Linked DNA regions of Oreochromis niloticus. The protein of the gene in region 1 purifies or fractionates together with the protein of each later gene. This does not show direct contact. Links are inferred from orthologs where the notes say so. Each region holds a gene or a part of one and is shown in the gene's direction. Other genes may lie near its edges. The genes, in order: plekhm1 and vps33a.

The links.
Region 2: the proteins of plekhm1 (region 1) and vps33a purify together in Homo sapiens (affinity purification with western blotting; 3 studies listed by BioGRID and IntAct, with this or other methods). This does not show direct contact. The link is inferred for Oreochromis niloticus from reciprocal best matches to the Homo sapiens genes PLEKHM1 and VPS33A.

The regions. Positions count from the first base shown.
Region 1 is NC_031973.2:6,817,506-6,834,512, reverse strand, and holds the start of plekhm1 (pleckstrin homology domain-containing family M member 1), read left to right. Parts: upstream 1-8,322; 5' UTR 8,323-8,534; intron 8,535-8,541; exon of another isoform or gene 8,542-9,216; 5' UTR 9,217-9,252; coding exon 9,253-9,303; intron 9,304-13,997; coding exon 13,998-14,239; intron 14,240-15,197; coding exon 15,198-15,869; intron 15,870-16,282; coding exon 16,283-16,736; intron 16,737-17,007. Other genes in the region: interferon a3-like, read right to left, coding at 5,584-5,667, 5,767-5,919. UniProt on the Homo sapiens protein: Acts as a multivalent adapter protein that regulates Rab7-dependent and HOPS complex-dependent fusion events in the endolysosomal system and couples autophagic and the endocytic trafficking pathways.
Region 2 is NC_031977.2:12,414,470-12,431,212, reverse strand, and holds the start of vps33a (vacuolar protein sorting-associated protein 33A), read left to right. Parts: upstream 1-9,898; 5' UTR 9,899-9,962; coding exon 9,963-10,064; intron 10,065-10,141; exon of another isoform or gene 10,142-10,226; intron 10,227-10,352; coding exon 10,353-10,418; intron 10,419-11,682; coding exon 11,683-11,810; intron 11,811-11,927; coding exon 11,928-12,114; intron 12,115-12,209; coding exon 12,210-12,326; intron 12,327-12,435; coding exon 12,436-12,610; intron 12,611-13,008; coding exon 13,009-13,202; intron 13,203-13,500; coding exon 13,501-13,627; intron 13,628-13,778; coding exon 13,779-13,846; intron 13,847-14,382; coding exon 14,383-14,520; intron 14,521-14,612; coding exon 14,613-14,750; intron 14,751-14,841; coding exon 14,842-15,010; intron 15,011-15,707; coding exon 15,708-15,901; 3' UTR 15,902-16,743.

The DNA.
Region 1 (17,007 bases):
TGGAGTTCCACAGGGTTCAGTGCTAGGACCAATTCTATTTACATTATACATGCTTCCCTTAGGCAGCATCATTAGAAGACATAGCATAAATTTTCACTGCTATGCAGATGACACGCAGCTCTATCTATCCATGAAGCCAGGTAACACACACCAATTAGTGAAACTGCAGGAATGTCTTAAAGACATAAAGAGCTGGATGGCCGCTAACTTTCTGCTTCTTAATTCAGATAAAACTGAGGTTATTGTACTCGGCCCTGAAAATCTTAGAACTATGGTATCTAAGCAGATTCTTACTCTGGATGGCATTACCTCGGCCTCCAGTAACACTGTGAGGAACCTTGGAGTCATTTTTGACCAGGACATGTCCTTCAATGCACATATTAAACAAATATGTAAGACTGCTTTCTTCCATTTGCGCAACATCTCTAAAATTAGAAATATCCTGTCTCAGAGTGATGCTGAAAAACTAGTTCATGCATTTATTACTTCCAGGCTGGACTACTGTAATTCTTTATTATCAGGATGTCCTAAAAACTCACTGAAAAGCCTTCAGCTGATCCAAAATGCTGCAGCAAGGGTACTGACAGGGACTAGAAAGAGAGAGCATATTTCTCCTGTTTTGGCTTCCCTTCATTGGCTTCCTGTTAAATCCAGAATTGAATTCAAAATCCTGCTCCTCACATACAAAGTCTTAAATAATCAGGCCCCATCTTATCTTAATGACCTTGTAGTACCATATCACCCCATTAGAGCACTTCGCTCTCGCTCTGCAGGCTTACTTGTTGTTCCTAGAGTATTTAAAAGTAGAATGGGAGGCAGAGCCTTCAGTTTTCAGGCCCCTCTTCTGTGGAACCAGCTTCCAGTTTGGATTCGGGAGACAGACACTATCTCTACTTTCAAGATTAGGCTTAAAACTTTCCTTTTTGCTAAAGCATATAGTTAGGGCTGGACCAGGTGACCCTGAATCCTCCCTTAGTTATGCTGCAATAGACGTAGGCTGCCGGGGATTCCCATGATGCACTGAGTTTTTCCCTTCCACTCACCTTTCTCACTCACTATGTGTTAATAGACCTCTCTGCATCGAATCATATCTGTTATTAATCTCTGTCTCTCTTCCACAGCATGTCTTTATCCTGTTTTCCTTCTTCACCCCAACCGGTCGCAGCAGATGGCCGCCCCTCCCTGAGCCTGGTTCTGCCGGAGGTTTCTTCCTGTTAAAAGGGAGTTTTTCCTTCCCACTGTCGCCAAAGTGCTTGCTCATAGGGGGTCATATGATTGTTGGGCTTTTCTCTGTATTTATTATTGTGCTATCTACTGTACAATATAAAGCGCCTTGAGGCGACTTTTGTTGTGATTTGGCGCTATATAAATAAAATTGAATTGAATTGAATTGAATTGAAATCAACTTTGGGCAATTTGTATCAATATGTATCCTGTCCTACCAGACGGGATAAAATGTTGGACCTTTGGTACGGATCGGTGAAGAATGCTTATAAATCCCTCCCGCTTCCTCCTCTGGGATTTGCTGACCATAACTGTGTGCATCTTCTGCCCATCTATAAAACTGTCTTAAAACGATAGAAGACAAAGACTAAGGATGTTGACGTATGGTCAGAAGAATCTGTGCTTACCTTGCAGGAATGTTTTAAGATTGGGAAGTTTTTATTCAGTATTGTGGAGATGATCTTGACGCTTTGGTGGATGTTACTAGCTCTTATGCAGTATTTTGTAAAGACATGATTATACCCCGTAAGCGCGTGTGTACGCTAACAATAAGCCACGGGTCACCAAAAGCGTCAAATCCTGTTTAAGGAAAAAGAGGGGGCTGTTACTGATTTTCAGACAGCCACCAAGGACCTGAAAATCGAGATCTTGAAAGCAAAACAGAGCTACAAAAACCTTCTTGAAAGCAAATTTGCTGCAATAAAATTTTGGGTCTGCCTGGACTTGTATGAAAACCATAGCAGGGTTTCAAAATCCTCAGAGCAGTAGTCAGATCATTTTAGATGGTTTTAATTCAGACAGAGATTTTGCAAATGCTTTAAATATGTTTTATGCTTGTTTTAGTTCTTCTGATTTTAGCAAGGATATTTTGGAACTGAAACAGAAACTGAGAGATACTCAGCACTTTATCATTGAACTCAGCTATGTCAAAAAGGCCTTTCATACAGTTAATGTGAACAATAGCCAGGGTCCTGATAATATTAGTGGCCGCCTAATTAAATCTTGTGCTGAAGAACTCAGTCCTATATTTCAGGTTATTTTTAATAAATCCTTGCAAACACAACATGTGCCCTCTCTTTGGAAAGAAGCAGTTGTAGTTCCTGTCCCTAAATCTAGTCGTTCAAAAATTCTAAACGACTTCAGGCCTGTTGCCCTCACTTCAGTTGTAATGAAAGTCTTTGAAAAAATCATCAGAAATGTGATTATGAAAGAGATTGAACATCAGCTGGATCCAATGCAGCAATAGAGGAGTGGAGGACACACTTTTGACTTTACTAAATCTGATTCTTAAACATGTAGAGAGTAAAGGGACTTTTGCAAGACTTCTTTTCATTGATTTTTCTTCGGCTTTTAATACAATACAGCCCCATATTTTAATTAAAAGACTTTTAGAACAGTTTGAAATCAAGAAAAACCTGGTGGGCTGGATTTTAGATTTTTTAACTGACAGGTCACAAAGAGTGAGAATAAATGGGGTTCTGTCTGACCCAGTGTTCTCCTCCACAGATTCTCCTCAAGGGTGTGTCTTATCGCCCTTATTATTCATTCTCTATACAAACATGTGTCAGAGCAGATATGAAAACAGGGCCATCATTAAATATGCAGATGACTCTGTTATTGGCAGCTTACTGAAAGAGGGTGAAACTAACCACGGTCCAGTCATTGATGACTTTGTTCAGTGGTGTGAGGAGTCTTATCTCCAGCTGAACATATCTAAAACAAAAGATATGGTTATTGATTTTAGGAAACAACAAAATGGGCACAGAGTCACTTTAATTAAAGGTCAGAAAATAGAGCAAGTGCAATCATATAAATATCTTGGGACCATAATCAATGAAAAACTGAACTTTGATCAGAATTGCAAATCAGTTTGTAAAAAGGGTCACCAGCACCTTTATTGCCTTAGGAAACTTGCTCATTTCCATATTGACCAAAAAATGTTAACTTTGTTTTATCGTTCTTTTATTGAGTCTGTTTTATCCTTTTGTTTGGTCGCATGGTTTGGTCAGGGCGGAGGTTTCTATTTCCAAGATGCAGGACAAAGCGTTTTAAAACAGCTTTGTCCCTGTTGCTGTCACTGAATTAAATAAGAACTGTTTTTGTTTTTGATTCGAAACGTTAAATTACTATATATGTGCTACAGTGAGGTTTATATTTTTATTATGTATGTGTGTTTTTGAAGGGATGCCAAATGCTATCATTTTTCTGTAAAGCAAATTTACCTTGCCTATGGGTATAAATAAAGTTACCTTGAACCTTGAACCAAACCATCAGGCAACTCAGGAGAGAAAAGCGATGCTCTACCTGCACTGCAGGTGGAGCACTGCTAACTTCAACTGACAACATTTTTGGGTGGTGGAAGGATTACTTCGAGGACCTCCTTAATCCCACTGGCAGAGTCAGAGATGAAGGGAGCCACTCATCTATCTCTGGGGATGACGTGACTGAGCCAGTTAAACAACTCCTTGGTGGCAGGGCCCCTGGGTGGATGAGGTTCGCCCTAAGTTCCTGAAGGCTCTGGATGTTGTAGGGCTGTTTTGCTTGACATGCCTGGAGATCAGGGGTGGTACCTCTGAGGTGGCAATTAGTCAAACCTTGGACAATGCAGTTTTCACCCTGGTTATGGAACACTGGACCAGCTCTTTATCCTCTCGAGGATACTTGAGGATGCATGGGAGTTTGCCCAACCAGTCTACATTGGCTTGGCGGATCTGGAGAAGGCACTCGACCATGTCCCTCAGAGTGTCCTGTGGAAGGTGCTTCAGGAGTATGGGCTGTTTGGCTCATTGCTATGGGCCATTCGATTCTCATACAACCATTTCAGGAGCTTGGTCCACATAGCCGGCAATAAGTTGGACTGGTTTTCGGTGGGTGATGGATTCCACCAGGGCTGCCCTTGTCACGGATTCTGTTCATAGTTTTTATTTAGAGAATTTCTAGGTGTAGCCAAGTGGCGGAAGGTTTTTACTTAGGTATTCTCTGAATCTCAGCTCTGCATTTCGTATATGATGTGGTTCTATTGGCTTCATCGGCTGATGACTTCCAGCTCACACTGGAATGGTGCACAGCCAAATGTGAAGAGGTGGGAATGAGAATCAGCACCTCCAAATCTAAGGCCATGGTGCTCAGCCAGAAAAGGGTGGAGTGTCCACTCGGGATCAGGGATGAGTGAAATAAGATAATAATTATTCAATGTAACATATAAAATAATATGAAATAGTTTATTTTAATGAAAATTTACAAAACAAATAAATAAATGAATAATACACAAATATTAAAAATAAATAATAGTGTAAATATCATAAATACAATAAATAAATTAAACCAACTAAGATATAATTTAACAATAAATTAACAAATACTTTTTAAAAAAATGTATCCGACAGACAACTTTCAGTGGGCAGTTCTCAGAGATATAAGAAATTCACATTGTCTCAGATGGGCTTGTGTTATGTTCCTGATCTTCTCCCAGGCTTCAGCACTGTAACCCTACAGACAAAACAATATTATTATTATTAAAATACCAGAGGTGAAATATCTGTCATATCTAAATACAGGCTCAGTAAAAATAATGCAGGCTTACATTTTTCTTTAGGATTTTATTTAAGAGTCTCTTGAAATACTTTTCTCTCCTAAAAGACAGCTGTTGCCCCTTCTGTGTGGTATTGCTGTGGCTTCCAATCTAAGTAAATCAAGAGAAATAAAACAAAATATATTTAAATAAATCATTCACCACTTTAACTTATTCGCAGTTGTCAGGTCTTTTACATAATAGAGACTGAATTCATTGTAAAATTACAAAAACGAATGAAAGTGAACTTACACAGGAGTGAAGCTCTTCAGTCTGTTTGTCGACTATATTGAGAAAGTTCTCCACTGTGTTCTCCTCCCATGATGCAGAGCTGTGATCCTCCTCAAACAGGGCAAGCAGCTCCTTCAGAATCTGAACTGTGAAAGCCAGTTTATCCTCAGCCTGGAAAAAGAAGAAGAAGAAGAAAAAGAAGAGATTACTATAGGAATACTTTTGTGACACTTGAAGATGGATGGCTTAGAAAGTCAAAGAACATGAATCCACACAGCAATGAAAATTTTCCCAGATATATCTTAGTTTGCACAGGAATAAATGGTTGAAAATGAGTTCTTTGTATTTTTGTCCTTGAATTATACACAGGAGTTATGACAGAGTCATGATAATAGACAACTCCCTTGGCTCTGTGGGAGAGAATCCCTACGACCCTTTTAATAGCTATAGTCTATATATAGGTAAAGACAAACTTTTGTAGATTTGCCATCACGACACTTTCAGTTCTTCCAACAAAAAAAGAAACAACTTTATGTAAAAAGTTAGGGATGACTTACTGTTGCTTTGGACGTCTGGCGATACAGTCGATTAGGGAAAGCTACGTTGTGCTCAATTTCAGCATCCTTAGTGGTGTTAGTAATCTGCATCACACACAAAACGCACACACATCACATGCATGGAACTAATCAAACTATTTAAATCAATACCACATTAAACATTATGCAAAGAAGTGCACTCACCATCATATCAAGGAAATCTAAAGCTATTTTGTTGTACAGACTGAATTGACTCTTTGTGTTTCCTGGATGTTTTACAATCCATTTGCAACTTAGCGAGGAGCCCGTACTGTACATCCCGAGAAACAGGCAAGCGATGAAAATCCTGCTGATCATTTTTGAAAAATGTAGAAATTTCCTTAGTGTGAAGCAAATTCTCAGGTCTCCTGGTGTTCTGATGGAGCAAACCTCCAGCGCTTCATTTATAGCAGAGCCCAAGGACACACCTATTTCATTTTCTAATCAGCTGGAAAGTCCTCACAGGCTGGCACACGTCTCAAAAGTAAAAACATAGCAGATTTATGTCATCGTTTTCAGTTTTAATATGTGTTCTTTGGGATAATTGTGTATAAAAATTGTCTATGATATAAAAAAAACTGAGGCAGCAGCACCATGAGATGACGTCAAGTTACCACATAAAGCATAAAAACAAAAATCTCCTCCTCTAACTATGTCCATCTCTTAATGCTTGAGATTAATATGAAACCTTTAGGCGATTTTAAAGTAAACGTAGAACAATAGTCGTTTAATTAGTTTAATTAGTTCAGTTAGTTTAAATGTAATTTAATTACTGTCAAGTAAAAGTTTATTTATCCGAAATCTGTTTTTACTTCTTGATTTTAATCTGGGAAAATTGAAGATAGGAGATTTACAGCAATGTTTTTCAGGGAGTCTTTACCTTCTCGGCAGTTTGCAAGACATTAAGGTAGCTAATTTAAAAAAAAAGAAAAGGAAAAAAAAGATCAAACAGTCAGTTAAAATCTTTAAATTGGTAGACACAAATGCATTGACGGTTTGGACACACACACATCAGTGCTGTGTCTGTAGACACGAAGGAAAATGAAAGTAGATGTGCACGAAACTTCCTTACGCACGTTTGCTTTTATTTTCAAATACGACTGATTACAGAGGATAAGAAAGGAGTATAGAGTGATTGAAGTTTATGTTTTTTTTGAGTTTCTGAAACCAATAAAAAGCCAAATATACTGGCAATATATTGTTTCGGTGGTGAGGCTATGTGATGGAGTAGTTTATAAGTTGCAGAGTGTGATATGAAAAGTCTTTAGCAGGGCAGGAGCTGAGAACGGAGAACAGAAAGTCCTCTGGCGTCGACAACAATAAAACCACTATGTCGTCTTTAAGTGTTACTCGTAAACTACAGCTTCCACTTTGGGTTTGTTTTGTTTTTTTGTTTTTTTGTTTGTTTTACCGCTTCTGTTTACCTTTAGTTAAGGTTAGTAGTTAACCTACTGCATGTTGATTTTGTTTTTTTTTTAATGTGTTGTCTTAAATAAAAAATAACCCGGAAACCATGAGACACAATAAAAAAATATGTCGACAGTGAAAATGAAATCTCGCCAGAGGAATGGAAATCAACTTGAGTTGGAGCTCATGTTTAGATGGTGAAATGCAAACATGCTCTATTTAACTCCTGCCACATTAAAATCCTTATAAAAAATAAGCTAAAAGCATGTACAACAGATAAAACAATTTTATTCTATTTATATTTTCTATTTAATTGAGCTTTTTTCTTTCTTTTATTTTTGTTATTTTCATGTTATTAAGCTACTTGGGTTTAACTCTGTTCAAATACCATGATAGAATGGTTTATCTTCTGGGTGATAAACCATTTTATCATCCAGAAGGGCAAAATAGCCATTTATGTTTTTTGGGTTTTTTTTTTTAAATGTAAAAGTCATAAAGCTAATAGCTATAATTTGTCACTTCTAAGTCAGTTTAAATAACATAGGAGGAGAAACGGGTCATTTTTACAATTCATGAAGAATAATTTTAATGTCAGGGCAGGGTAGGCATGCAGTGACACAAATAATGTCAATAAATTATTATTTATTTATTTTTTGTCATATAGACTGAGGAATAAGTTCAGGCAAGAGTTTCCATTGGCTGCGATGCTCGCAGATGACATTGCAATCTGTAGTGAGAGTAGGGAGCAGGTGGAAGAGGACCTAGAGGTACGAGCCATAAGGGAAGGTTTAAAAGACAGGAAAGAGACCTGCTATGATTTATGGTTTGGAGGTGGTGACTTCGACAAAAAGAGAGAAGACTGAGCTGGAGATGTTAAGGTTTTCTGTGCAAATAATCAGACTGGAAATGCACATGTCAGAGACAAAGCTCAGGTCAAGCACATTAGAGATAAAGTTAGAGAGATAAGGTTGAGATGGTTTGGACATGTGCAGACAAGAGATACTGCATATGCTGGGCAGAAGATGTTGAAGATGGAGCTGCCAGGCAGGAGGAAAAGAGGAAGACCACGGAGGTCGTTCTTGGATGTAGTGAAGAAGGACATGCAGAGGGTTGGTGTGACAGAAGAGGATGCTTAAGATAGGGTGAAATAGATGATCCACTGTGTCCTTGAAGAGGATGAAGAGGAGAATGAGAAGAAGATCAAGAAAATCATAAAGAAGCTCACGAAGAAGAAAAAGCTCGACAAGAAGAGAATCCATGAGAATAAGCCCAGTTTCACAGCATTTGTGATGGAGCATGAACGCATCACTAGTCTGAGTTCCCATGATGCATTTCTTCTTCAGTTGGATGGTGACAGTCGAGCGTCTAAAGTCGAGCTAACTTCTGCTCTATTTTTAGGTGTTTTGGAAGCGATGGAGAGCGACTGCACGGATTTGTGTTCCTCTAACGTGCAGCTCACGTGTTTACGTTAATTTAAGGAGGACACGCGCTTGTTTTTCGACCTGTTAGCCAGGCTGTTTGTTTCGGTAAGCAAAACTTAGCTAGTAAAAGCCGCCGACAGCGTCTGATTTTAATATTATAACATAGCTGATAGACATTTCGTTATTTACACAGCTTTTTTAAATTGATTTTTTATTTTATTTGTTTAATTTACAGTGTTTCGGTCGTGCATTTCTGTCATTAATGCACACACGCCCAGTGCTCGTCACTGCAAAGCGTCTGCAGAGAAAACAAATGCTTCTAAATGTCGCTTTGGGTGTTTAAAACGAAACTATTAACTAGCCACTGTTTGGTAAACAGTACTTTGTTTGCTGATAGCCCAGCACTTGATGTATTTAACGCAATCTTATTTGGATGTGATGATGTCAGGGTGGTTGGATTACATGCTGATTAGTTATCAGAGTGCCTCCTAGTTTTTATTGGGGAAGTAAGAAGCTACTTCCCTGCAGACGTCCTCTTTAATCTGTGCTTCACATGACCCATGGGCTACTCACAGAAAGCATGAAATGGCAGATAATGTCACAGAGCACAGACTCGTGATAGGAAATTCTGAAAACTCGATGTGAAGAGGGAAAATCGTTTCCTTCTCGTCACATGTCTGGCTCGTCGGCGTGGTCATATTCAGGATACAAACTCGCATGACTCGTTAGGTCGTTGTTAGTCAAGCCTGCAAGTGCCAAAAGGGCAGGTCTTTTTTGTGTGTTTCAGTGTGCCATGTTGGAGTAACTCATTCCAGGAGGTGCCATGCTCGCCACGCAGACTGAAGCTCCACACGAGGCTAAAGATGTTAAAAAGGTAAGAGTCAGCTCTTTTCACGTTGCGGATTTCACTTCTGTCTGGCTTCTTTCTCTGCTGGTGAGATAGCGTGAGAGTTGGCTTGTGATATTTAAGTAGTTTGTGTTGTAATGCAAAGTACGCTGGGCATTACACCACAGACAGAACTGCTCTCTGTGTTGATCAGTGACTTTATTTACAGTTTTGTTGCAGACTAAAATACAGTATGCAGCAGGAAAGTACAAAGCTGGAGATTGGACTGGCGAGTTATGGAAAATTATTCATAAATCTTGTCTTGCATTTCAGTTTTCCCCAGAAAGCCTTAAACAAATGGGGGGGAAAAAACCCACTGATGTTTAGGTCGTGGGGGACATGGGGTCCTCCAAAAGAAAAAACAAAAACAGCACAGCCTGTTTTGAAAGGCCACTAATAGGGGATGCAGCAGAGGAAATGCATCATAATCCCGGTGCTAAGCTTATCAACAGAGGATTTTAATTATGTTTAATAGTGAAGCTGGTCTTGCATAGGTGTAGTCTCACCCAGGAGTACAGGAGGTCTTCAGGTACAGACAGGAAGGAAAAAAGAGGCCCAGATGGACCCCTCTGCTCTTGTTGTGCATGCTTCAGGGGACCTGCATTGAAGGGCTGAATGATGGTTAACCTAAGAAACTTTTAACAAGTTCTATTCCTTTAGATCAGTGGTGGACATGTTTTGTCTCAGAGGGTCTTACTTACTTAGATAAATTAACCCAAGAGCCAAGTATTGAACAATTAATGTGAAATATTTTCACATATTTCAGAATTATTTCAAGTTTTTTTAATAGACCTAACTGATGCATCAGGCCCGGGTGATCGTGTCAGGAATCAGGAACTTGCTGTTAGCACTTTTTGTGCTTTTGTGTCTGTGGTGAACTGTAATATAAAACCACTGCAGTACAAAGCTGAATTACTTAACAAGGAATAGATCTGGCTAATATTTGCTGTTTACTTAATATTTTTACTCACACATTGGCTTTCTTATACTTAATACATGCAGCATTAGTTTATTTTCAGTGTGACTATAGATTATAACTCTGAGATTTAAATGAATCACCCCGTGTTTCTTGAAACTAAATAATGACAACGTGTGAGACCGTCACCTCTCACCATCAAAGCTGTGTTATGTTAAACATGTTGTTATTGCTCCAACTGTGTCTGTTTGGCTTTTTTTAACCACTAACCACAATTAAACTCCTCAACATCATTCATATTGCAAAGATTTGTTGTGCACTGTATATGATTGTATAACCTAAACTGTGTTATTAACTGCCAAGGGCTGCCACTGGTCTGTGGGCTACTCTTTGAGAGCCCTGTCTAACTCTAGCCTGAATCGTAGACTTCAGAATCAGAGTACTTTCATAATCCCTAAGGAAATTATGTGGGTTAAAGTTGCTCCAAGACAGTAACAGACTAAACTACATAAATAATGCAATATGTTACAAAGGTTACAAATTTAAGAAATAGCACTAATATATATACAAATCGCTCAATTATAAATATCAAGAGTATTGCAGAGGTGAGAATATTACAATGGTTGAATATATATGATTGACATTTAACTTTAACCTGTGAACTTTGTCATTTGCTATTTAGTGTAGAGCAGAGGTAGGCAACCTTTCTGATGAGTGCCATCTAAAATTTCCTCAGAAGTCAGTGTGCCATATGATTGCATTAGCAATAAATTTAATAACGCTCTATATTAACAGTTACACACTATATAGAACAACTTTACAATTACATTTGTTCGCAGATGTTTGCAGCTATCAGCGAATAGTTATCAGCTATTTTGAAACAAAAAAAAGACACTTTTTATTCATAACAAGAACTCCATAACAGCAAATGAACTGTACAACAGAAAATGCAAATGCTATTTATGGTCTCCTCACAACAATGATAAGAAAAAGAAACTGAGCCAATATGGCATGTTTGTTAATACAGGGATACACATGTTAATGTGATCTCTGGTCTCCCACTCAGAGACACAGGTCTCCGAGTGTCCAGCATTCAGACGGCTACCTGAAGACACTCTTTGTGTGAGAGAAAATCTGCTCACACAGATATGTAGAGCCAAATACTGTCAATAATGCCTCTGCAATGTTCTGAATACAGTTAAACTTGTCAGGTAGTGATGTCCAGCAGGTGAAAATGCAAGCTCCATGAACACGCACAGCTATGGATTCCAGCTGCCCCCCTTTCCCTGTTAATGCCCTACCTGGCCCCCTGGCAAAACTTTGCTAGACCCGCCCCTGCACAGTTACCAGCTGTCAGCTACATAGAAAAGGATCCTGGTGTTATTTGTCTCTCAGAAACAGTTCATAACTTCCCTTCAACTCATCCATGTCACCTAAAAGGTAAACCTGTTTCTCCATCACCTGTTCAGCTCTGATGATTCAGTAAGGACATCTCCTGGTTTCATCTTCATGTTTCCCTCTCACCACATATCCAAACCGATATCATGACCAGCAGTTTTTACAGCTGTGGCTCCAGCAAACATCAGCTGATACTAGAAATTATTATTATTAAATAAATTCTAACAACAGCTGATCAAGCTTAAATGTGCTGCTGTTGTTTAGCGCGACATCCGCTGGTTTCCTCTTTCTGGCGCAAAGTGGGCGATAAACAAACAAGAGAGAAAAGCCAATCAGCTGATCATTGATCAGTTTCATGATTGAAGTAGCAAAAGGAGAGGGAGGGGGAGAGAATGAGAGAAGAAGAAACAGCTGTGCAGCGTAAAGATGCAGAAAAACTCCAGCTTTGTGTCTTTTGTGACGATTCCGTTTTTACAGGACGGTTGGCAACTCTACTAACTAACCTTATGAATAAAATAAAGTTCACTATCAGTAACATCATAGCACCCACCCAGCTGTATAGAAACTCTGTCATGCTAGCGAGTACGCAATACGAGTTATTGTAACTGACTGTAAAAAGTCAGCACAACGAAAATAAACTCCACCTAAACTTGGTTTATATCTGACCCAGATAGACTGCAGGTCATAACTTCTTAGCTGAAGTTCAGTTCACCTGACGCTCCGACCGGCGGCCGCCTCGGGTCTCTCCTCCTCCTCCTGCCTCCCCTTTCCCTCATCCACCTGTTGCCTCTGTGGAAGCTCCACCATAGTCACCATCAAACAACTGAGTTGGTTTTACACATCGATACAGCATCTGGCCAATACACCACCTTTAATACCGTTACAAAAAAAAATAAAAAATCATAGGCCCATAAAAATGAGTATGCCTGATGGCCAGTCCAGCTATGGTCGTGCCATCAGTTAACACTTCGCGTGCCAGCTGTGGCATGTGTGCTCAGGGTTGCTGAACCCTGGTGTAGAGAGTGTGCAAAAGGGTGTAACTATTGCAGCATTTACAGTGTAGTAGATGGAGGAGTTGTACAGGGAGATGGCCACAGGCAGGAATGATTTCCTGTGTGGTGCAGAAGTGCTTTTTGGTAATTTCAGTCTCTCATTGAACGTGCTCCGGTGAATAGCCAGCATGTAATGGAGTGGTATTATTCAGCATTGTCCTTATCTTGGACACCAGCTGCCTCTTAGACACCACTCTAAGGGAGTCCAGCTCCATCAGCACAACATTACTGGCCTTGCGGATCAGTTTATTGAGTCTGTTGGGATCTGTGACCCTCAACTTGCTGCCCCAGCATGCAACAGCATAGAGGATAGCACTGGCCACAACAGACTCACAGAAAATCCTGAGCATTGTCCGACAGATGTTGAAAGACCTCAGCCACCTCAGAAAGTAGAGACGACTCTGGCCCTTACTGTAGAGTGCAGTGGTGTTCTTAACCCAGTTCAGTTTATTGTCTATATGTACTTTTTTTAAATTGGTTTATAAAATTGCTAAAAATAACAGGGAGAAACTTCTGTTAGCTTAGATAACAAATATTATTTTCCGTAACCATGGATCAGCCGTGTGTAGTCATCCTCCAGACGCCTGCTTTCATCCAGGAAAACCCCAGGGTTATGGCTTTTTTTTTTTTTTTTTTTTTTTTCAAATGTTTTTTTCAAATGTTTCAAAGAAAGAAAGAAAAAATTTATGTTTAGTTAACAAGGCTTTGAGACCTCAGATCATTAGGTAAGGTGAAACAAAGTCATATCTTTGAGTATAGTTAGTATAGTTGGACAAACTGTGCTTGTTTGGCCCATTTTGGATCTTGGAAAAACCCTGTAATTCTAGTTTTGCAGAAAATAACCCCGCTGCATAAATGCACTGTATATGTGCAGGTGCTTGGAACGGGACCTGTAGATGTTTTTCTTCTACAGGTCAAGCACAGCAAAGGAAGAGTTCTTCAGTGCTCAAGAGCACTAAGGTTCTTGTGTGTTGTGGAAGAAGCTGCCTTTGTCCTCTAACCTTTTACATAATGTAGGTCTGTTTGTAATGTGTTTGTTATTTTTTTTCCCCATCAGCTGACAGTGGGTGACATGTGACAGGAGGTTATATACAGGTTGAGTGTCATAACATCACAGCTGATCTCAAACTGCTTGTTTGTCATCACACTGTGGAATGAAATGCAGGAAAAAAGTGCCAGTTAATGCTTGAAGATGTTTTCTATGTATGTGGTTGAACAGGAATTTTTTTCTTGTTTGACAGCCTGCTTCCCATCAGAACCAGATGAGGAAGGTGTTTTATTAAAATCTTTTTCCTCTTCCATGTATTGTTTCTTAGATCAAAGAGAAGTTGGCGCAGTCGCTCAAGGCCCTGCAGAAACGATATGTTGCGTCAGACTCGGTAGTCACCAGTGATGATTCCGATGCTAACCTCCTCTGCTGTGCCCTGGAGGCCATCTTCATCCACGGTATCAAGAGCAAGTACATCCGCTCAGAGTCTCGAAGCAGCAGTAGGAAAGGGGACCGTGGACCCCTCCCTCAGCCTTTTTTCTGGAGCCTCCTCAAGAGTGTCACCCACCGGTAAGTCAGAACCAAGGCACAATTATTCCTAAACTTTGGGGGTTTGGGACTTTTTCCCTTTGGAAAAAATACATTTGGAGATTTTATCTTAGATTTCAGGTTCATTTTATTGTAGTGTCTTTACCTTATGCAAAGCGCCTTGAGGCAACTTGAATAATCAAGTATTCTAACAATTATTCCACTGATTGATCGAGTAATCTGATGACAACTACTTTTCTGGGCCTGTCCTTGCTATCACAGGGTGAGAGCCAGGGTCCACCCTGCACAGGTTGCCAATAAAATAAGGTATAGATTAATATCCTTCTTGGAAAACTATCTTCCAGGAGGCAAAAAGAATTCTGACAGTATTGTGTCTCATGGATGAGGGGGTTTTGGTGTGTGTTCATGTGTATGTGTGTCTCTTTAAAGCAGCATGTGGTGGCTGCAAGGAAGAAAAGTGAACATACAATGTTCAATCTTCTCAATAACAATGTTATTGAGAAATTCAAATCAGTGATTCCCAAAGTGTGGCCCTCAGCTTCCTTTTGGGTATTGAAGGTATGCAGGTTGTCTGTGTGGTCTGTGAAAAATTTACAATTGTTAAGCTTGAAGTTAAAATCTTCTGAGTTCCCTGAGTAATGTTTTCAAGTTTTAATATTTCCATTTACAAAACAAGTACAAGACAAAAGATTTTAAAAATTGGCTGATCATTATCAGCTGGCAAAAAAGAAGGCTGTTAATAGAGAATTACACAGAATAACAGAGATGATTGATCAAATGAAATGAAGAACAGAAACCTCAGGAGGTCATTAATCCGAGTCTTGTGTTTAAATCAGAGTTTTTAGTAAAGGGTTAGAAGTGTCCCTGAAGATTTTCAGAGTTCATATTGAGAGATGCCGTTCTTAAGTTTAAGTATGCCTGATTTAAGGTATAATTCTGTGAAAATGCAATATGTTTATCACACTCTTTCTTTAACTAGTGATGTGGTCACAGAGCTGGAGAAGATCAGCTTTGTGGGCACTGATGTGGGTCGCTGCCGAGCGTGGCTGCGGCTGGCCCTCAACCACGGCCTCCTGGAGTGCTACCTCGTATCGTTGTTCCGCGAAGACTCCAAGCTGAAGGCCCATTATCAGCCCAGTGCCTTGCTTCTGAACCCGGAGGAGCGAGAGGTTCTGCTCAGCTACCTCCAGGGTCTGGCCTCCCTCACATTCAGCCTGTCTTACAAGTCATCTGTCCTCAATGAGTGGACCACCACGCCTCTGGCTCTTGCCGGACTCTGCCCTTTGTCCCAGGCAGACTTACTGGACCTGCCCCTCAATGGTGGAGACCCTCCCACCTCCAAGCCCATATGCAAGGAAATTTGGGATACAGTGTCTCAGTCATCGGGTTCTTCGGACGCACTGGATGTACAGAGAGGCTGCCCAGTTTTAGTGGGGAGGGGATCAGATCTTTTACAAGGGAGTCAGACTGCTCTTCGTTCTTCTAATTTAAGCCTGGATACCACAGGCTCCTCTCAGCTGTCCTCCAGCTTGAGCTCTGACAGCCTTCTGCAGGGACAGGACCCCCGCAGCCCGACAGGAGAGCATTGGTCTTCATGTGACTTGGAAGCAGCCATTAATCCCAACATCTGCACCAAGAGGCCACAGAAAGAGTATGTATACATTTTAAACAGTTTTTAATCATTCTGGAACAAATAGGAGTTAAATAACTTTGTTCTTAACATCTGAATGAGCCCCATCTTGTAGTATATTTTTAGTCAGTCCCTCATACACCATCCTGTTGTTCTAATAATCACCAGAGCACCAGATGTGTGTTAATCATTGGCAGGAAATAGCCTCCAATAAAACTGAAAGATATGTGCACATCCACCCCAATATGGGCTCTGGCACGGAACTGAAAAGCAGCCAATAACCAGTATATAAAATTAGCAGCTTCGATGCTGAGAGGTTTTTTTTGTTTTGTTTTTTTTGTTTTTGTTTTTTTTTTGGTCTTTCGTCAACAAAAGCTTTTCTTTTATTTAACTTGAAGTAAAATACATGTTTTGAGTTGTCTGTATCTCTGCAGCTCGCTGACTGATTTCCGGGAGAGCGGACACTGCAGTCAGGACTCGACACAGGAAGACTCATTTGTCTCCAGCATGGGTCCTTCTCAGTTCTCTGAGAAGGGTATTATCAGTGACAGTGAGCCCCAGGCTTCTGAGTACCAGCCTCCAAACTTTGGACAGCTTGATTTAGAGCAACCAGAAACAACCACTGAGCTGCCATCATCTGATGATGATAAGTGTCCCCCTGAAGTCTGCAAAAGTGCCTCTTCAGAGTTGCACTCGGACATAGGTCTTGTCTCAGCAGTCAGTGAACCTGCAGAACCTGTGGAGGAAGTAAGTGTGACCGTTGAGCCTGTCCAGGAGGAGAAGCTAACGGAGAGCTCGGAAAAAACCAACGCGGACTCTGTAGTTCATCAGTGCCCACGTCGCTCTACAAGCATCTTGAGCAGAAAGTCATCTTCAGATTCACTATCAGTAAGTATAACATCTCTATGGAGAGTAACCGTTATTTGAGTAAAACCACAAACTTTATCTGGCCTTAATGCAAATTTGTCAAATGCACTCATATCAGTTCATAAATGCTGTGGTTGCTGATTACATAGAACGCAAAAAACTATTTGATATTTGTTGCATGAAATGTCAAGTAGGATGTTCAACTCTTAATCTTGAATGATGCATGGAGAGAAAAAAACACAATCTCTGTAATAAATAATGGAAAAAAATTATTTTGTGTTTATTTTTTTCC
Region 2 (16,743 bases), on another chromosome or scaffold:
TGTGTGTGTGTGTGTCTGTGGGCACTCCTGCGACTGACTGGCATGTATCAATCCTCTGCCAGACAATACATGGAGCGATTGGAACCACAGTGTATGTCATGAGGGAAAGTACCTGCATTCAGAGAAGACTGGCAGATTCGAAACTGAAGCAACCAGACAAACTAAGAACCTTTCTTGTGCTTCAGATACCAGGAGCTGTGATGGTGACCTGCTCTCTTCCACTGTGTGTCTTTTGTCCTGTCTAGCTTCACCCCCAACTGGTCAAGCAGATGGCTACCCATCTCTGAGCCTGGTTCTGCCAGAGGTTTCTTCCATTAAAAAGGAAGTTTTTTGTTTTGCTCATAGGGAGTTGTCTGATTATTGAGGGTTTTTTTTTTGCCGAAATCTGGCAGCTAATTAGGTAAAATAAAAAACATGATTGTTTAAGAAAGAGCGAGCAGGTCAAATGCTTCAGAAGGAAAGATGTGGAGACCGTTTGTAGGGGCTGCATCTGTGATGGGAAAGGGGCGGATTGGTGGGCACAGCATGGGTAATTAACCCATCTGGGAGTAGTCAGAGAAAAGCTTGCTCATTTAAGCAAGAGAATACCAAACCACAGTGTGCAAGCTTTCTAACAACATGCCACCTTAATAAAAGAGTGTTGCCTGCAGTCCTGACCACTGAAAACATTTGGTGCTTCATGAGATGTAAAACTTTCAAGCACCTAAGTTCTATATCAAGGAAAAGTACTCTGCTCTTAAAATTACAACGATCGTTCATCAGTTCCCAAGATGTTGAGTGTTTTAAAGCATGAGGTGATGCAACACAGTGTTAATGTTGCCTTTCTTTTTTGCAGTGTTTTGCTGGTATATCAAAATCAAAATGACCATATATTATTACAAAAATACTCATTTTTGTCACTTTGAAGCTTTGGTATGTTGTCTTTTAACTATAAAAAAATAAAGCCTATTAAATGATTCGTAAATTGTTGCATTCTGTTTTTATCTATACTTTATGCATCATACCCACTCTTTGGGTAATGAGGTTTAATATGTGGGGGCGGGATTTAGCCAAAAATGCACGATGTTAATGACAAAAAAGGAAAAATGAGAAGTCACTGTGCCACTTGTCTTCAGCATTTCACAGCAGGAAAATCCAGCATTGTAGAACCTTGGAGAGAGTAAAAGACATAACAAAAGGGAGGGGTGCACCACTCATTCAGCTGCAAATATTATGCTGCGTAACGTCAGGCTCCATACCTTTTGAGGTCTAATCTGTTGTACGTCTGCCTGCAGGATTCAAGATATTCGCTGTGCTATCAATAGGCACTCTGGGTGTGGGCTTTTCCTTCTGATGCAGCGCCTGCATCTAGCCAACACTAGCAGCACAGTCCTCAGGGAGCCTGGTCTTTTTCCACTTTTTCAGCAGCAGACTGACAGATCAGACATAACTCTGACCACACCGTGTATTTTATACACTGACGCTCTCAAGTGCGGCCCTCCTTCACTTGCCAAAATAAATTACGGCACTTTTGTCGAACATTATTATCCTGCAGAGGTGGATGGAGAGAGACAGATGGGAGGATGCTTTCAGACTTGGGCAAGGTAACGACTGACTCAGACTAGCCCGAGCTCCCTGCTTGGGATAGATATTACTGCATCACAGTAGTGGGTTCTTTGCTGAAGTGATAAACCAATTAATATTCAGGAGACAGTCTGAAGGATCACATACACATAAAGAGCTGTCACTATAGGATGTTATGCTTTAGCTTTTGGAAAGTAGTGCTTGGTTTCATTGGTTGTAGTTTAAATTCCCTCAAAAGGTTTTAAATGTACTGTAACTTTGAAAATAGTATCCAAGACCAATTATAATGAACTGTCTTGCCCAAAATGTCATACTGGGCCTTGTTTCTGACATAATTTTAACCCTCAGACTTCATCCTCTATACTTCTCAGGTTAATTGGTAAAAATGACTCAGTCAGGTGGTTGATTCCTCTCTGAGGAGAAGCACATATTCTCTGTTATTTATTAATTTGTTGCTTTTTTTCTGCAAAAATGTTATGAAACCTTTACAATGGGAACTGTGCAAATGGCCACACCATACCGCCAGGAGTAGCTAGTAACAGATCATGTGTGAGATGACAGCAGGAAAGACCAGAGGGAGAGCATCGACTCAAGACTGATCACCATAAGTCATGGGCGCAGCGGGATCTCTCTATAGAGAGAATTTCATATGGGGGTGGAGAGGACCGATTTAGAAACCTGTGTCTCCTCCTCAGGGCCTGAGAGACTAGTCAATACAAATCTGCATCTGTGCATCTTCAGGGGTGTACGTACACACAACTCCCTGAGCACAGCCTGGACGTTTTGCATCAGCTTCTGGCAAACACAGCTATCCATTCTCCTTATACAGTTCAAGAAAATCATCAGCAAGAGTAACCTATTTCGAGTCCAGTCAAGCACTTTCACAGATTAACGTTGTTGTATATCTTTCAATAGTAGGAGTATGACTCATTACTGCAGAATATATGACTGGAAAACAAACAGACTGGAAAAAAGCACCTTGTTACAGTAATGGCTTGAGTTTTCAGTACTTGCAGAAGGGAGAGCTGAGGAAAGCAGGCAGTGACAACAAGTCAGTGGGGCTTCTTTGGAATGATTCACCATGGGCCACGGTAAGTGGGATGTAAGGATAGAGCGAAGCTACTTCCTGTACTGAAATCTGTAAACAAAAGCAAGGATTTACTCAAATAATATTCAAGCACTTTGTGCTCTAACAATACTGCAATTTTTAAATTGACATTGATCATTATGAATGGTTTGCAAATCTATTTTGATGAAGCAGACAAATTAAATAATCAAAATTACTGCCAAATGCTAAACGTATTATCTTATTCCGAATTTGATAGAGGACAACTGTCTGCAGCGTAACCAACGGCTTTATCAATCGCCTGACACCCTGCTACATGTCCTACTTATAAATGTATTAAATATAATGACACTGTAACACTATGAGGTACTACACTTGAATTCCAGGGCAACAATTCCCTCGCCATCCTCCACAAAAGATATTTGTAAAATGGGTTAATGAGAATCAGAGATCAATGCAGATTTACACAATTGGTTTCCCTTTGATTTATATTTCATGTGTTCAAAAACTTTTGAATGCATAATGGAGGTTCTCTTAACAGTCGTACATACTCAACACGCAAAACCAGCAAACAAAGAAACACTTGATTATTGTGAAAAGTGAACGTCATCGCTAAACAAAAGGGTGCAATACAAAATACCACAATTTTTTTTTCAAGTTTTAAGATTAAAATCATAAAGAAAAAAGAAGGACTTAAAGGAGAGTTTAAGAAGTGACGAAACATATTTTACTTCATCCTGATTTTTCCTCCTCTACCATCTGGTCTGGCAGTAAGTCAGATTGTGTTATGTATTATGAAAGAGAACACAGACAGGAGAGTCTTGGTTGGCCTACAGTTTTAGCTCGAGTCCTGTGGTGATCTGGAACATCATGCCTTCTTTTTTAATTCACTTCCTCACACACGGACTTATTTGAGAGCCAAATGCTAATTAAATCCAGCAAAGTAAAACATTCTGGACAGACGGAAGGCGCAAGCAAGCAGCATTGCTGGCATATGGGTGAGCTACTATCACGTCCTGAGAAGTAACCACTACTCGATAAATTTGAGTACGAGATTCGAATGATGGAGAAAATAATTTAATGTTAAAAACCATCTACTTCTGGAAAATGATGGATGGTCTGTAAAAGCAAGCCTATATGTGAGCTATCTATAGACCTTCACTCAAGTTCTCTTCAAAACACGAACTACTCAACAGCATTTTGACTCACTTGTAAGCTACATGTCATCAGAAAAGTACAACCAGCTGCTCCTTCGCAGTCAGCGGTGACGTGTGTGGTAGAAACTGAAGGTCTTTTTTTATAGGCTGTAAAATGTTCTGTGTTATATTGTTGATTAGGCTATAAACACAAGATTGGAGTACACTGCGCAGTAAGGGTCATGAATGGTAATTGACTTGCCACCTTTAGCAGTAAAAAAGAAAAAAACACTGAAACAGGAACACCTGCAACCACAAAGTAAAAAGGAAGAGTCAAATGTGCTCCAGTCATTCGCATCATAAAATCACATCTCTGCATGTTGTAGTTTGGAAGCCAGGATAACCACTTTAGCCCATATTTGTTCTCAACAACTATTAAATGTGTGGGGATAAACAAAAGCTCCTGATTTCAACAGGATGAGTCCGGTAATTTGATAACCCACTCATTTTTATCTGCAGTTTAAGGAGCTGACTTATCACGTGAAATTTACCAACATCTGTTCAATGGATTGCAAAGCTGACACATTATTTTGATTGCACGGTATTGCATGATTGTATTGTGTAAGTGTATACTTTTTTACTTCAAAGCAAGCAGCCCATTCATCTGTAATGTATATTTGGCAGTTCTTAACGCAATTAAAACATCTGATTTCTCAGATTTTATCAAAGGAAACATATCATGACTTGACATTAAATAAAGAGCGACGCCAAATTTAAATAAATTAAATCTAAATCGCAAAATTAAATTTATGATCATTTGGATTTATAAACTAAGTAGCTTAACAGATCTTGATGTCTAATTCTCACAATGTCTCACAGAGTGAGTGGGGAGAGGGTAGGAGCCACCAAAAGGTAGCCACCCACTCCCAGTAGCATGACACAACTCCATCCATCCTCCATAGAGAACTGTGAGATGGCAGCATAGCAACACACTGAAAGTTGGACCTGGGCAACACTATAAAGCACTGCACCGTGAAATGTTCTGCTGCAAGAGGAACACATCACTCAGCATTTCTTAATTATTTACAGCTCCCACCCCCGTTGCCATTCACTCTGTGTAAACCCTCTCCTTAAGGCATTAGTGTACGCTTTATGCTCTGACCACTATCAAACAAGGATTTGGGGAGGAACAGATCACATCGGGTGGAACAGATTGAGAAACTCTGTTTAGGGCAACAGTGTGGATGTTAGTCTTTTAGGTCTGTCGCATTGACAAATTATCCATGCTTTCACTCAGACAATGGCGCTGACAGGGACCATCTGCAGAACCATCTGCGAGGACTCTTCACCTCTCAAATGTGAGAGTGTTGTACCGTTTTAAATACACACAACTACATCCTCTCGGCAGGCAAGGATCCAGGTCCCGCATCGTTGGAGAACAAACAGGAAAAACCATCCAGTGACCAAACAAGCTATCATGCTGATACCCTGCTATAATTGTTGGCTCCATCCAGTCAACCTAAATCTGGCTGGTGAGGATTTTTTTTTTTTTAATTCAGAAATCACAACAAGGCGTACTGAATTTGCAGTCGACATCCGACAGATCCCAGCAATCCTGAGATTTAGCTGAAAACGCCATCTGACCAGCACATTGATGTACATATAATTCAGATTCAACTTTTAGACTCAAAGGGAGCTGAAGAGAAAGTCTGAAACCTTAACCATAAGAAAACAGAGAAAAAGAACAGTTGCTTAATCAACAACAAAACTCCACATGGCATAACATCTGCCATCAGTTAAAGTGCAATACTGCCACCCACTATGTTTAAGTGTCAACCTGATAGTTACTGGTGCTGCACTACTTTTTTGTGTGCATTATTAATATTCTTTAAATATTTCATATTTTAAATATCACAGTTATCACCAACTCTGTTACATCACAAGTCTCCTAATATAGCAGAGAATGCTATTATCCGAGCCTCCTTTTAAAGCTAAGTCAGTAAACAGCTACAGGACGAGGGAACACTCGATTACCGGCACTCTAGCAAGAGCCTGCAGTGAGTTTCGGATTTGCTTGGGTGATGGTGATTCATCCTTGTATGCCCCAGAAGCAAGAGGTGGGACTGGCTGCTGATGCACCGGCCGGTTATGTTCCCTCGGTTTCTTCAAATCTTATGTCAGAGGTAACAGATAGGCGTATTAAATGTCTGTTTGTAGTCTTATGAGACAAAACTACATGGTTGATAAGATGAAAGAAAACACGTCAGGTCTCTTAGTCTTACTGCTGTTACTCTCTCCCCTGTGAAGATCTGGTTCAGCTGTGGGATATCTGACTCTCCCTCTTGTCCCACTAGCAAACTAGCAGGTACAATGCCCCTGGGTGTTTTTAACAAATCTGTGTTGGCAAACTGTTCTGGCCTGGAAGCTGCAACACTAACAGGAAGCTTCTGCGCAACTTTTGACAGAAAAACCTCTGTCGGGAGTCTTTTCTGTAGGCGTCACTCTGAAGACCATCACTGAAGCTGCAACATATGCAAAGCAGGGATTAGAATGAGTGCAATATAAGGGTCAGGGATTGGGAAGGGTAGTGGAAAGGTGGAAAAGGGGTTTCGAGATAAGCTAGTGTTAATTCTATTTTGGATGTTTAACTCCTCACTCTGCTGGGGGAACTTTGTTAAAAGGCCACATTCATTACTTCTGCTTTCTCCAATATGCCACACCATTTAGGCAGCTCGAATCACCACATTTGGATAAGTAAGTGAATCAATGCTTATCCACCGCTGATGAGAATAAGAAGATGAAGCCACTCCCCTCTGGAACTCGGCCGCAAATGGCAGAATAAAGTACCTCCTCTAACAGAATTTAAACACAGAACACAAAATCTGCTGAGATTTACAGTAAAAACTGTGTGATTTAGGCCCGAAGCTGCATGCATAGATGGTGACGAGCACAGAAAACATGGAGTCATGCACCTTTACCAACTGTGGCCATGGTAACAGCAAGATCAGAAGATGAGAATGAGAGTGATTAAACTCCGTGTGTGTGTGTGTGTGTGTGTGTGTGTGTGTGTGTGTGTGTGTGTGTGTGTGTGCGTGTGTGTGTGTGTGTGGAGTGTGTCTGCATAGTAGACCACACCTGTGCCAAATTTTCAGACCCATGCAGACCAGGTCATTGTTACAAATGTTGTAAAGAAACGTGGTTAAAGAAGAAGGGTATGGCTGCCTTGTATGCTTGTGTGTTAAATAATGCATACAGCATGCAAAGCACTTCGTTCCTCCATCTTTCCCCCCCACCTTTTCTCTAACTACCCATCATTCTTGCTCTTTTACTCTTGTTTTATGTGACCAGATGTGAAAACAACTGATCTCCTCCTATATTTTTTCTTAATTTCATTCCTTCTCTAGAAAACAACAATAGGCGAGCAGGCAGGGAGAAAAATACAAAGACAAGGGACATCAGGATAAAGGTGTCATCCAGTCACTACTGGGGCTGCTTATGTGCAAGGATGCAACTGCAGATATCGCTCAGACCATTCATTCAGTCTTTTCTCCCCTCCCCCATTTAATCCACATGCTTCAGGTCTGTAGGAGGAGTTGGGAGATGGTGGAACTGGAAGGCAGAGCCCAGCTTCCTTTCTCTGTCCTCTTTCCATATTAATGTCAGAATAAGAATGAACTAGTCCAACCCATTACAGCACACGCACACACACACACACACACACACACACACACACACACACACACACACACACACACACACACACACACACACACACACACAGATACACACTGCTTTGACATTCCAGGTTTAATAATAATAGCCCCAGGGTGCAGTATAAGATAGCATCACAACAAGTAGTCAACTGAATCACCTGCTCTGTGGCACAGCTGGAGTTGAGAAGCAGCCCTCCCCACATCAGTGATCAGCTTGACGTTTTTCCTCCATAGTCTGCAAGCCTCCAGCGTGCGCTCCTAAAAAATCCTGCAGCAACGCCCAGGGACTGCAACCACACAGTCTCCCACATGACTTACCAGGTCTGTTCTCTTACATCAGATCTACAACAACAAAGCACTTCATTTGCAGGAGGAGCCGGCCTCTAGTCTTGTTTTATTAAATCTTTTTTATAAAGGGAGATGGGGGCTGAACCTACTGAGGTACACCCAGAGTGTAGCCATTCATGAATAAACTTAGTCCATAATCATAACACCAAAGTAGGCAGTAGTAAATCAGTGCAACACCAGCTCTGCATGAATGACAGCAAAAAATAAAATAAATAAATAAAATTCTGCAGCAGGATCACGTCTTCGGAATGATGTCCCCCCCCAAAACCCCCCCACAAAGGATTCACTGAAATGTTCATTGTTATAATTGTAAGCTATAGGTTAATTAACAGCATGCATACTGAGTGCACTGCACACTCCCTCACAATCTTCCCCTTCATTCAAACGACTCAGTAAATAACAGGCTAATAAAAACCCATGATATGTGTTCCAGCAAATTAATAAAAACAGGCAATAAAACGAGCTCCCTAGTAAGCGATTTCTATTCCCCGTGTCTTCTGAATGAAATGCTGCATCCATTCAACTTGCACAGGCTAAAGAGAAATTACAATGGGCTGTCCAAACGCAATAATCTCACAGAAATGTTTCGGGTGAGGATGTAATGTTTGAAAATCCTTCGAAGGAGATCGCACAGCCTACCTGTGAATCCAGCCCTGCCTCTCTCGCCTCTCCTTCTCTCTCAGGGAGCTGTCAGGGAATGATGCGGACTAAATTTCTGTGCAGCGCTCGGATCCGACCACGGAGTTAGTCATTGCGCATGGTGCCCGTCACAAAAGCCTGTGGCTTTATTTATTTATTTTTCCTGGAAGAGTAGTCTGTTGCTGAAATGCACAGTGGATCACCCCAGTGCGTGGGAACTGGTCTTCTATCCTGCGCGGAGGATGGAAAGCCCTTGGTACCCTGGGCAGGAAACCCCTGGATGTGAAGTGATAACACTGATGCTCAAGTAGGCAGTCATCACCTGATCCAATTGTCTCCATAACACAGTGTCTAAATTTGTCTCATCATTCAGCAGTCTGTCTTTATGGCGCGTAAACATGGATTATAGCTTTAAAGTTTGATTTTTAAGCCGTTTTTTATTTGAGTCACTTTTTTTTTTGATTGTATTAAACAACCATTCTTCATATGTATGTGCCAACAAGAATCTTTATGTTTTCTGTATGATAACATTAGCAGAAACTTTTATTTCCCCTGTCACATCTTCTTCTTTTTCTCCTTCTTCTTGTCTTTTTTAAAAGATAGTTTTAACTATGTAATTTTCAAGAAAAAAAAAAGCCAAATTCCAACATCAGTGACTCAATTACAGGAGCTTGCCGGCGATTGAATCCTACTGTGAGGACACTGCGCCATCTAATGGATCCAATAATAATTGCGGAAAAGGATGAATGCATTTCTTTAGCTGAAGGTTTTGAATTATTCTAAAAGGATTCATTATTTTTTTATTATTCTAATAAGTTATTTGTTTGTAACGTGAATGAAATGAACAATCGTCACGGTCATAAATAACCGTAGTCACAGTGGTTATGGCCTGCACTTTGTGGTAGTTACAGTGTAGAGTTGCCACCAATGACTGTAGAAAGCACCTCCTCCCATTGTGCAAAAATGAAGCCAAATCCCGCTTGTGAATTTGGACACAGCTTCCACACCTACTCGCAAAAAGAAGAGTACAGGAGGATTGAAACAGTACCTCCTCTGCGCTTCCTTCATCGTATTTAAAAGCATACTTGAACAGGAAACATTTCTGATGTTATTCTGTCGATGTCTACGCTTAAAAAGTATAATTTAAACAATGCTGAGACTCGGTATGAGACATGAGTATTTCTCTTAGCTGTTTAAGTAATTTTTCTTACCGAGCAACATCTACGCATGCGTGAAACCCGTATTTCCCGTTATGCTATTTTAGTTTTTGCATTTAACTTTTATTTATTATTACCGTAGACTGCAAACAGATAGTGCCGACATGAATTTGTCGGTGCATTAGTGAAGTGGAAGTGTTTGAGTGCACATTTTCACAGTGTTTAGGCTCAATTGTGGCGTTTTCTACAATCACTGGTGTGAACTAGCTTGACTTTCTTTGGTCACATGATGCGACTACGCTGAAGTCACCTGATTTGTTGTGCTGCTAGTAAGGAAAAAATGGCTGCTCACTTGTCGTACGGTAGAGTGAATTTAAACATATTGAGAGAAGCAGCACGAAAAGAGCTTCGAGAGTTTTTGGACAAATGCGCAGGAAGCAAGGTGACAAACCCGCATACGCCTGTGAAATGTAGTCCAAACACTGGTAGTTAATGTGGTCTCTGAGGCTCAGCGTTACCATGCGACTGTCAGTTAACATTATAGTCATAGTTTTATTTTGAATGTGTAAAACAATACAGATAACGCAGACATATTTCTGTGTAGGTGCGTCGTATTATAAAATATTCGAGCTACTAGCTAAGTAACAGTTAGCAAGTATCGCCTGACAGAACATCTTCAGTTCTGCTTACTCACGATTCAAAGCTTTGTGTGCTCTTACTCTTTCTTTAGGCCATAGTTTGGGACGAATATCTGACGGGACCGTTTGGACTAATAGCTCAGTACTCTCTGTTGAAGGTAAGTGCTTTCTGTTTACAAACCCATTTCTAAAAATGTTAGGAAGCCGTGCTTTGTGGGAATGCAATGATTTGCAAATCTCCTAAACCAATATATTATTTACATTAAAAAAATAGAAAACGTCAGAGCTTTCTACTGTTTAATGAAAAAATATTAGGCCATTTTGAGTGTGATGGCAACAAGACAACTGAACGTTGGTACAAGAAGAACAGTCTGGAAAAGTAATTGGTACTAAAATGAAATAGCTGGAGGAACATTTGGCAACAGGTCAGTAACATGATTGGTACATATCAGCCAGAGATTCAGAGAATCTGAAGGAATCTCTGTGGACAAGGGACGAAAAACACTCAGGTGCCGCTGCATTAAAAACACACATGGTTCTGTCATGAAAACCGCTGCATAGGTTCATGAACACTTCCAGAAATAATTGTCTGTGAACACAGATCACCATGCTATCCAAAACTAGAGGTTAAAGGTCTGTCACGCAAAGAAGAAGCCATGGTTGAACATGAAATGCTACTGTCTGCTAATTGTGGAAAACTATTCTGTGGTCAGATGAATTAAGACTTTAAATTATTTTTGCAAAACATGTATGTTGTGTCCTCAGGACTAAACAGAAAAGGCAGCATCTGACTTATTATCAGCACTGAGTTCAAAAACCTGCACCTGTGATGGAGCTGCATTCATGCCTGTGGAATTGGTAGTCTACATATCTAGCAATGCTGAAAACAGGTTTTACATATGCTCCTATCCAGACTGGATAGGACAGCAGTCTTTTTGCACATTTCATCAAAAGACTCCTAAACCGCATTAAGCATCTATTACAACAGCATGCATTCATAGTTGAAGAGTCTACTGAACTGTCCTGCCTACATTCTAGACTTTTCAACAGCTGAAAGCATTTGGCACATCGTGAAATCAAAAATGCAACAAATTAGACTCAGAAGTGTTGACGTATTGGTGTCGCCAAATTAAAAATCATCAAATATTTTTCTTGGTCCATTTTCTTATTTTAAATCTTTTATGTTTTATGTTATTTTCTAGTGTAAAAGAAATATGTGTTCATGAGATTTTCAAATCTTGGAATTCTGTATTTATTTGCACATTATTTTTTGGAAGTGGGTGCACAATTTATGTCTCAATTAACTCAGACAACAGACAAGGCCCACATGTCTTATTATCTAGTTTCTTTTAACACTAATGTCATGTGTCTAATGTTGCTGAGGGTGTTGTTTTAACTTGTCGTTTATTATGGTGTGTTCAGGAACATGAAGTGGAAAAGATGTTCACCCTCAAGCATGGGAGGCTTCCCCCTGCTGATGTCAAAAATATCATCTTTTTTGTCCGGCCCAGACTGGAACTTATGGACATCATTGCAGACAATATAACTAGGTGAGTGTATGTGTCTCATCCTCAATCTGTGATAAAGACAAGGTTTTGTTTTCTTGTCCTTTCTCTCACTTTGCATAGCTATCCACACTTTGCAACATGAATTGTGCTACTCTTTAGTGAGGATAGACACCATTCATCCCGAGACTTTCATATTTTGTTCGTGCCTCGGCGGAGCATGCTGTGCGAACAGCGGCTAAAGGAGCAGGGCGTGCTGGGCTCTTTCATCAACATCGATGAGTATATCCTGGACCTGATTCCCTACGATGGGGACCTGCTGTCCATGGAGTATGAAAGTGCTTTCAGGGTGTGTTCAGGTTGCACAGTACAAATATGTATCATCCACTTGCTTTGGTGGAATCTCTCATATACACATAAATTACTCCCCTTTGTCGCACTCAGGAGTGCTACCTGGAAAATGACCAAACAAGCCTGTACCACACAGCCAAAGGCCTCATGACCTTGCAGGCTCTGTATGGCACCATTCCACAGATATATGGGAAAGGAGAATGTGCACGGGTGAGCATGGTGTAACCTTCAATAATTTCTGTTTTATATGAAAGCAGAGGCTCTGCAGGAGCGAGGTAAATACATTTTTCTGATAAACAAATCCTCTGCTTGTTATCAGCTCGTTGCCAACATGATGTTGAGGATGAAGAGGGAGTTTGCTGGCAGTCAGAATCAGATTCTGCCCGTGTTCGATACCCTACTTCTCCTTGATCGTAACGTTGACCTGCTCACCCCTCTGGCCACACAGCTCACCTATGAGGGTCTCATTGACGAGATTTACGGAATCAATAATGGTATGAATAAATCATTTAGAGTTCTTACTCTTATGTTTGCATGTTGAGCCTCAGTAATATTTATTGTTTCTGACATCTGCATATCCCGCTGTTTCTTTCGGAACTTTATTTTTAATGAAAAGCAGAGCAGGATTACACTTGAACATTAAAATTAATCTTCTTTTTTTCTCCAATATTTGACATATTGCTCATATTGTAGTGTTGAGGTGGAGGTTAGTTTCTCCAGCAGTTTGATGATGTCTGCAGTCTAGTGATCCTTGTTTGGATGCTTGCCTGCAGACATTTCTGTGTGGTAGCTTTTCATGCTAGTACTGTCACTATCCTGAGCCAAAAGTTTTTCAGAGATTTTTCACTATTTTATTTTTAGTCTTTTTTTTAATTCTATGCTTTCACTCCAGGTTATGTCAAGCTGCCTCCTGAGAAGTTTGCACAGAAGAAGCAAGGTGAAGGGAGTAAAGATTTGCCAACAGAGCCCAAGAAGTTACAGCTCAACTCAGCAGAGGAGCTGTATGCAGAAATCCGGGACAAAAATTTTAATGCTGTTGGTGCAGCACTCAGCAAAAAAGCCAAAATAATATCTGCCGCCTTTGAGGTTAGCCTTGTTTTGGATACATTTTTGCTTTTTTTTTTCCCATCTTTGCTTACATGTGGTGATCATAGTGTGAAATTCCCTTCATTCCAATCCGGGTACTTTCGGGGGGCAACATGAGATCAATTTCAGATATTCCTGCTAGGCCAAACAACAAGTAAAGGAGTACTGCACTCCAGTGCATTATAACTGTAGCATGTCAGAGCCTTGAATTTTATTACTGAGGTGTTTTGTGTGATAGTGGTTAAAGATTATTTGGATGCTGCATTATGCTTGTTTCATCTCTTCTTTTGTCTCTCAGGAGCGCCATAATGCCAAAACGGTGGGAGAAATTAAGCAGTTTGTCTCCCAGCTGCCTCACATGCAGGCAGCCCGAAGCTCACTGGCTAACCACACTTCTATAGCCGAGCTGATCAAAGACATCACAAGTGCGTATATAATCCCATGCTTTCCCATCAAATCACATTATGTTTTTTAGCATACATCTCGCTCAGTTTTTGGCTTTTAAGACTTTAAAGACAACTATTTCCATCAATATCCACTACTATGTAGTAAATCATCTATCATCTCATGTTTCAGCATCCGAGGCCTTCTTTGATAATCTAACAGTGGAGCAGGAATTTATGACTGGTGTTGACACAGACAAGGTATTTTTCATCTAGTTACCTATTTTCCTCCCTAAGATAAGTTGTTACAAGTTATCAAACACACACGTATATATTAGGTAAATCTGTTCAACCATTCTCACACGGCTGCAGGTCCATGCATTTAGATACTAAACAAACTGAGCATCTGAAAGGGAGGAAAGGTGATGTAAGTGGCTTTGAACATGACATGGTTGTTGATGCCAGATGAGCTGGTATGAGAATTTCACAACTGCTGATCTCCTGGGAGTTTCCCTACACAACCCTATTTGCATCCTTGATGTACACCCAGCAAATCTGCAGCAACTTTGTGATGCTTTCATTTAAATACAAACTAAAATCTTTGATGAATGTTTCTCCATGGTATAGATCCAACAGGGTTTCCAGCACCTTGTTGAATCTAACCATGAAGAATTAAGGCAGTTCTGAAGGCAAAAGGGAGTCCAACCCAGTAGTAGCAAGGTGTGTTTTTATAGGTGCTGTTTCACAGGATTTTTAGTAAAGTTCACTAAACACCGTAAAATAATGTGACTATGCAGGTGAACACGTATATAGAAGACTGCATTGCCCAGAAGGATCCCCTGATCAAGATCCTGCGTCTGGTGTGTATGCAGTCAGTCTGCAATAATGGCCTCAAACACAAGGTGATGGACTACTACAAGAGGGAGATTCTCCAGGTAAAGACATAAAGAAGCTTTCTCTGCACCCTTGGATTCCTGTCATAATTAAACTGGATGGTTTTTAACTTTTTTCCTCCCCCTGTGTGAAGACCTATGGTTATGAACACATACTGACGCTGAACAACCTAGAGAAGGCTGGTCTTTTAAAGCCACAGACAGGCTCACGGAATAACTACCCCACTATTAGAAAAACCCTTAAACTGTGGATGGAGGACGCCAATGAGCAGGTACTCAATATACAAAAAAAGGAAAGCAGTTAATGGATTAAACTCATGAAAAAGCAAGGGCTGACGTTTGTGAGTTTTTCTGTTCTCTCAGAATCCCAACGACATCTCATACGTGTACAGTGGCTATTCTCCACTTAGCATCCGACTGACTCAGATCTTGGCACGACCTGGGTGGCGCAGCATCGAAGAGGTGCTGAAAATGCTTCCCGGCCCGCACTTTGAGGAGAGACAACAGCTTCCCTCTGGGCTCCATAAGAAACGTAAGGACTAAGAGAAGCTAGGACTGCTCTTTGCCCTGCTGCTCACAACAGAACAAAAACAGCCTCACTCCTGCTCTGTGTAGATAAGACACAGGATTTGTTTATGTCAGATGCTGAATAGCGGCAGATTTATGGCATGTAGCCAATGGTGCCACACAGCCACTGTTAGCTTGTCGTTTTTTTGTGTGCCTTTCTTGATAGAAAGGCTGAAAAACCACTCTGTGCTTGATTTGTGAGTGACAGCCAGTGTTGTCCTTTTGTTTTTCTCCATCTTTATTCCATCTTTTCATTTTGGCAGTAGTAGGTGTTACACTGATGTGAATAATGAATTTAATTATACACTCTGTTTGAAATGTGCTAATTAGAACTGTGTTTGGGCATTAGACAGTTGACTTGTTGCTACATGCCTGCCTTGCATTGGTTTTTAAAGGTGATAATAGAAGACTCTAATCAGGGGGGAGTGTATGACTAAATTAGGGTTTTCACATTTTAAAAAAACCGGTGCTTCAACAGAGGGTGGCTTGCTATTTGCTTTACATTGAGTTGTGTTGTATTAACATTTATATTTGCTAGTATTTAAAGGATTCACCAGGTCAGAGTGGAATTAAGGAAAAACTATAAAATATCCTTTGCTATTGTTAATATATTTAATTTTTATGTTGCATTTTAGTGACTTGCATCTCTCAATGTCCAACAGGCCAGCAGGGAGAGAATCGGACAACGCTGGTGTTCTTCCTCGGCGGTGTGACGTATGCAGAAATAGCTGCTCTCCGTTTCCTCTCTCAAGTGGAAGACAGCGGGATGGAGTATGTTATAGCCACCACAAAACTCGTAAATGGCACAACTTGGATCAAATCCCTCATGGACCGCCCTGAATCCCAGACACAATGAGTCACCTGCACGTACACCTGGCCACATCAAAGAGCCCATCCACCAGAAAAGCTCAGCTACTTTTTTTTTATGTCCACATCACTGTCCTGCAGGTGTTTCATTGATGTCTCTTCCAGTTTAAAGAGAGACCGGCTCTTTAAAAGTTGCCCTGTGAAAATTTCTTTGTCAAAGTAACTGTTACCTGCTATGACACTGCAGTCTTATGCATGTCCACTTTCTAATCGCCTGAGTGATGTCACCCTTTGTTTTGCAAAGTCCTGTTTGCAAAGTCTGATGTTTGTGTCGGCCGTTTTCTTTTCTTGATGTGTTTACCGTGGGGTGGTCTGACTGAGAAATGCTCATAGTACAGCAATTTGTCCATCAAAAGGTAGCTCTGAAGCATAGCTTGCTTTATCATCTGTTTTGCTCCAAACAAGAGTTTAATTAGAATTTACAAAATGAAACATGTTTTTCTTCTCTTAAAAAAAGGCTGAACAAGCAATGGAGACAATTGGGTGATTTTTTTTTTTTTTTTTTTTGCAGAGGACTCGCCCCCTGCTGGACATTAGAGAGAAAGCAGGTTTAGGGCAGCCGGAGGCTACATCTGTCTGTTATATACATTCCATAATCTTTACTGTCCTGCCTTTGAGTTGCACCCGTATTGCGCAATATAAAGGTTTATTGATGTCTAATGAAGATGTCTTTGTCATTTGGTTGTGTTTCCGTCATTGCAGTTATTGCTTTTCTGCTACTGTATATATACTGTATATAGAATTAAAACATATTTGTGATGCCATAGAAGAGTAATGATGCATTTGATTTGCATTTTTGAAAACTAGTAGTTGTCTTTTGTTTGTTTTCCT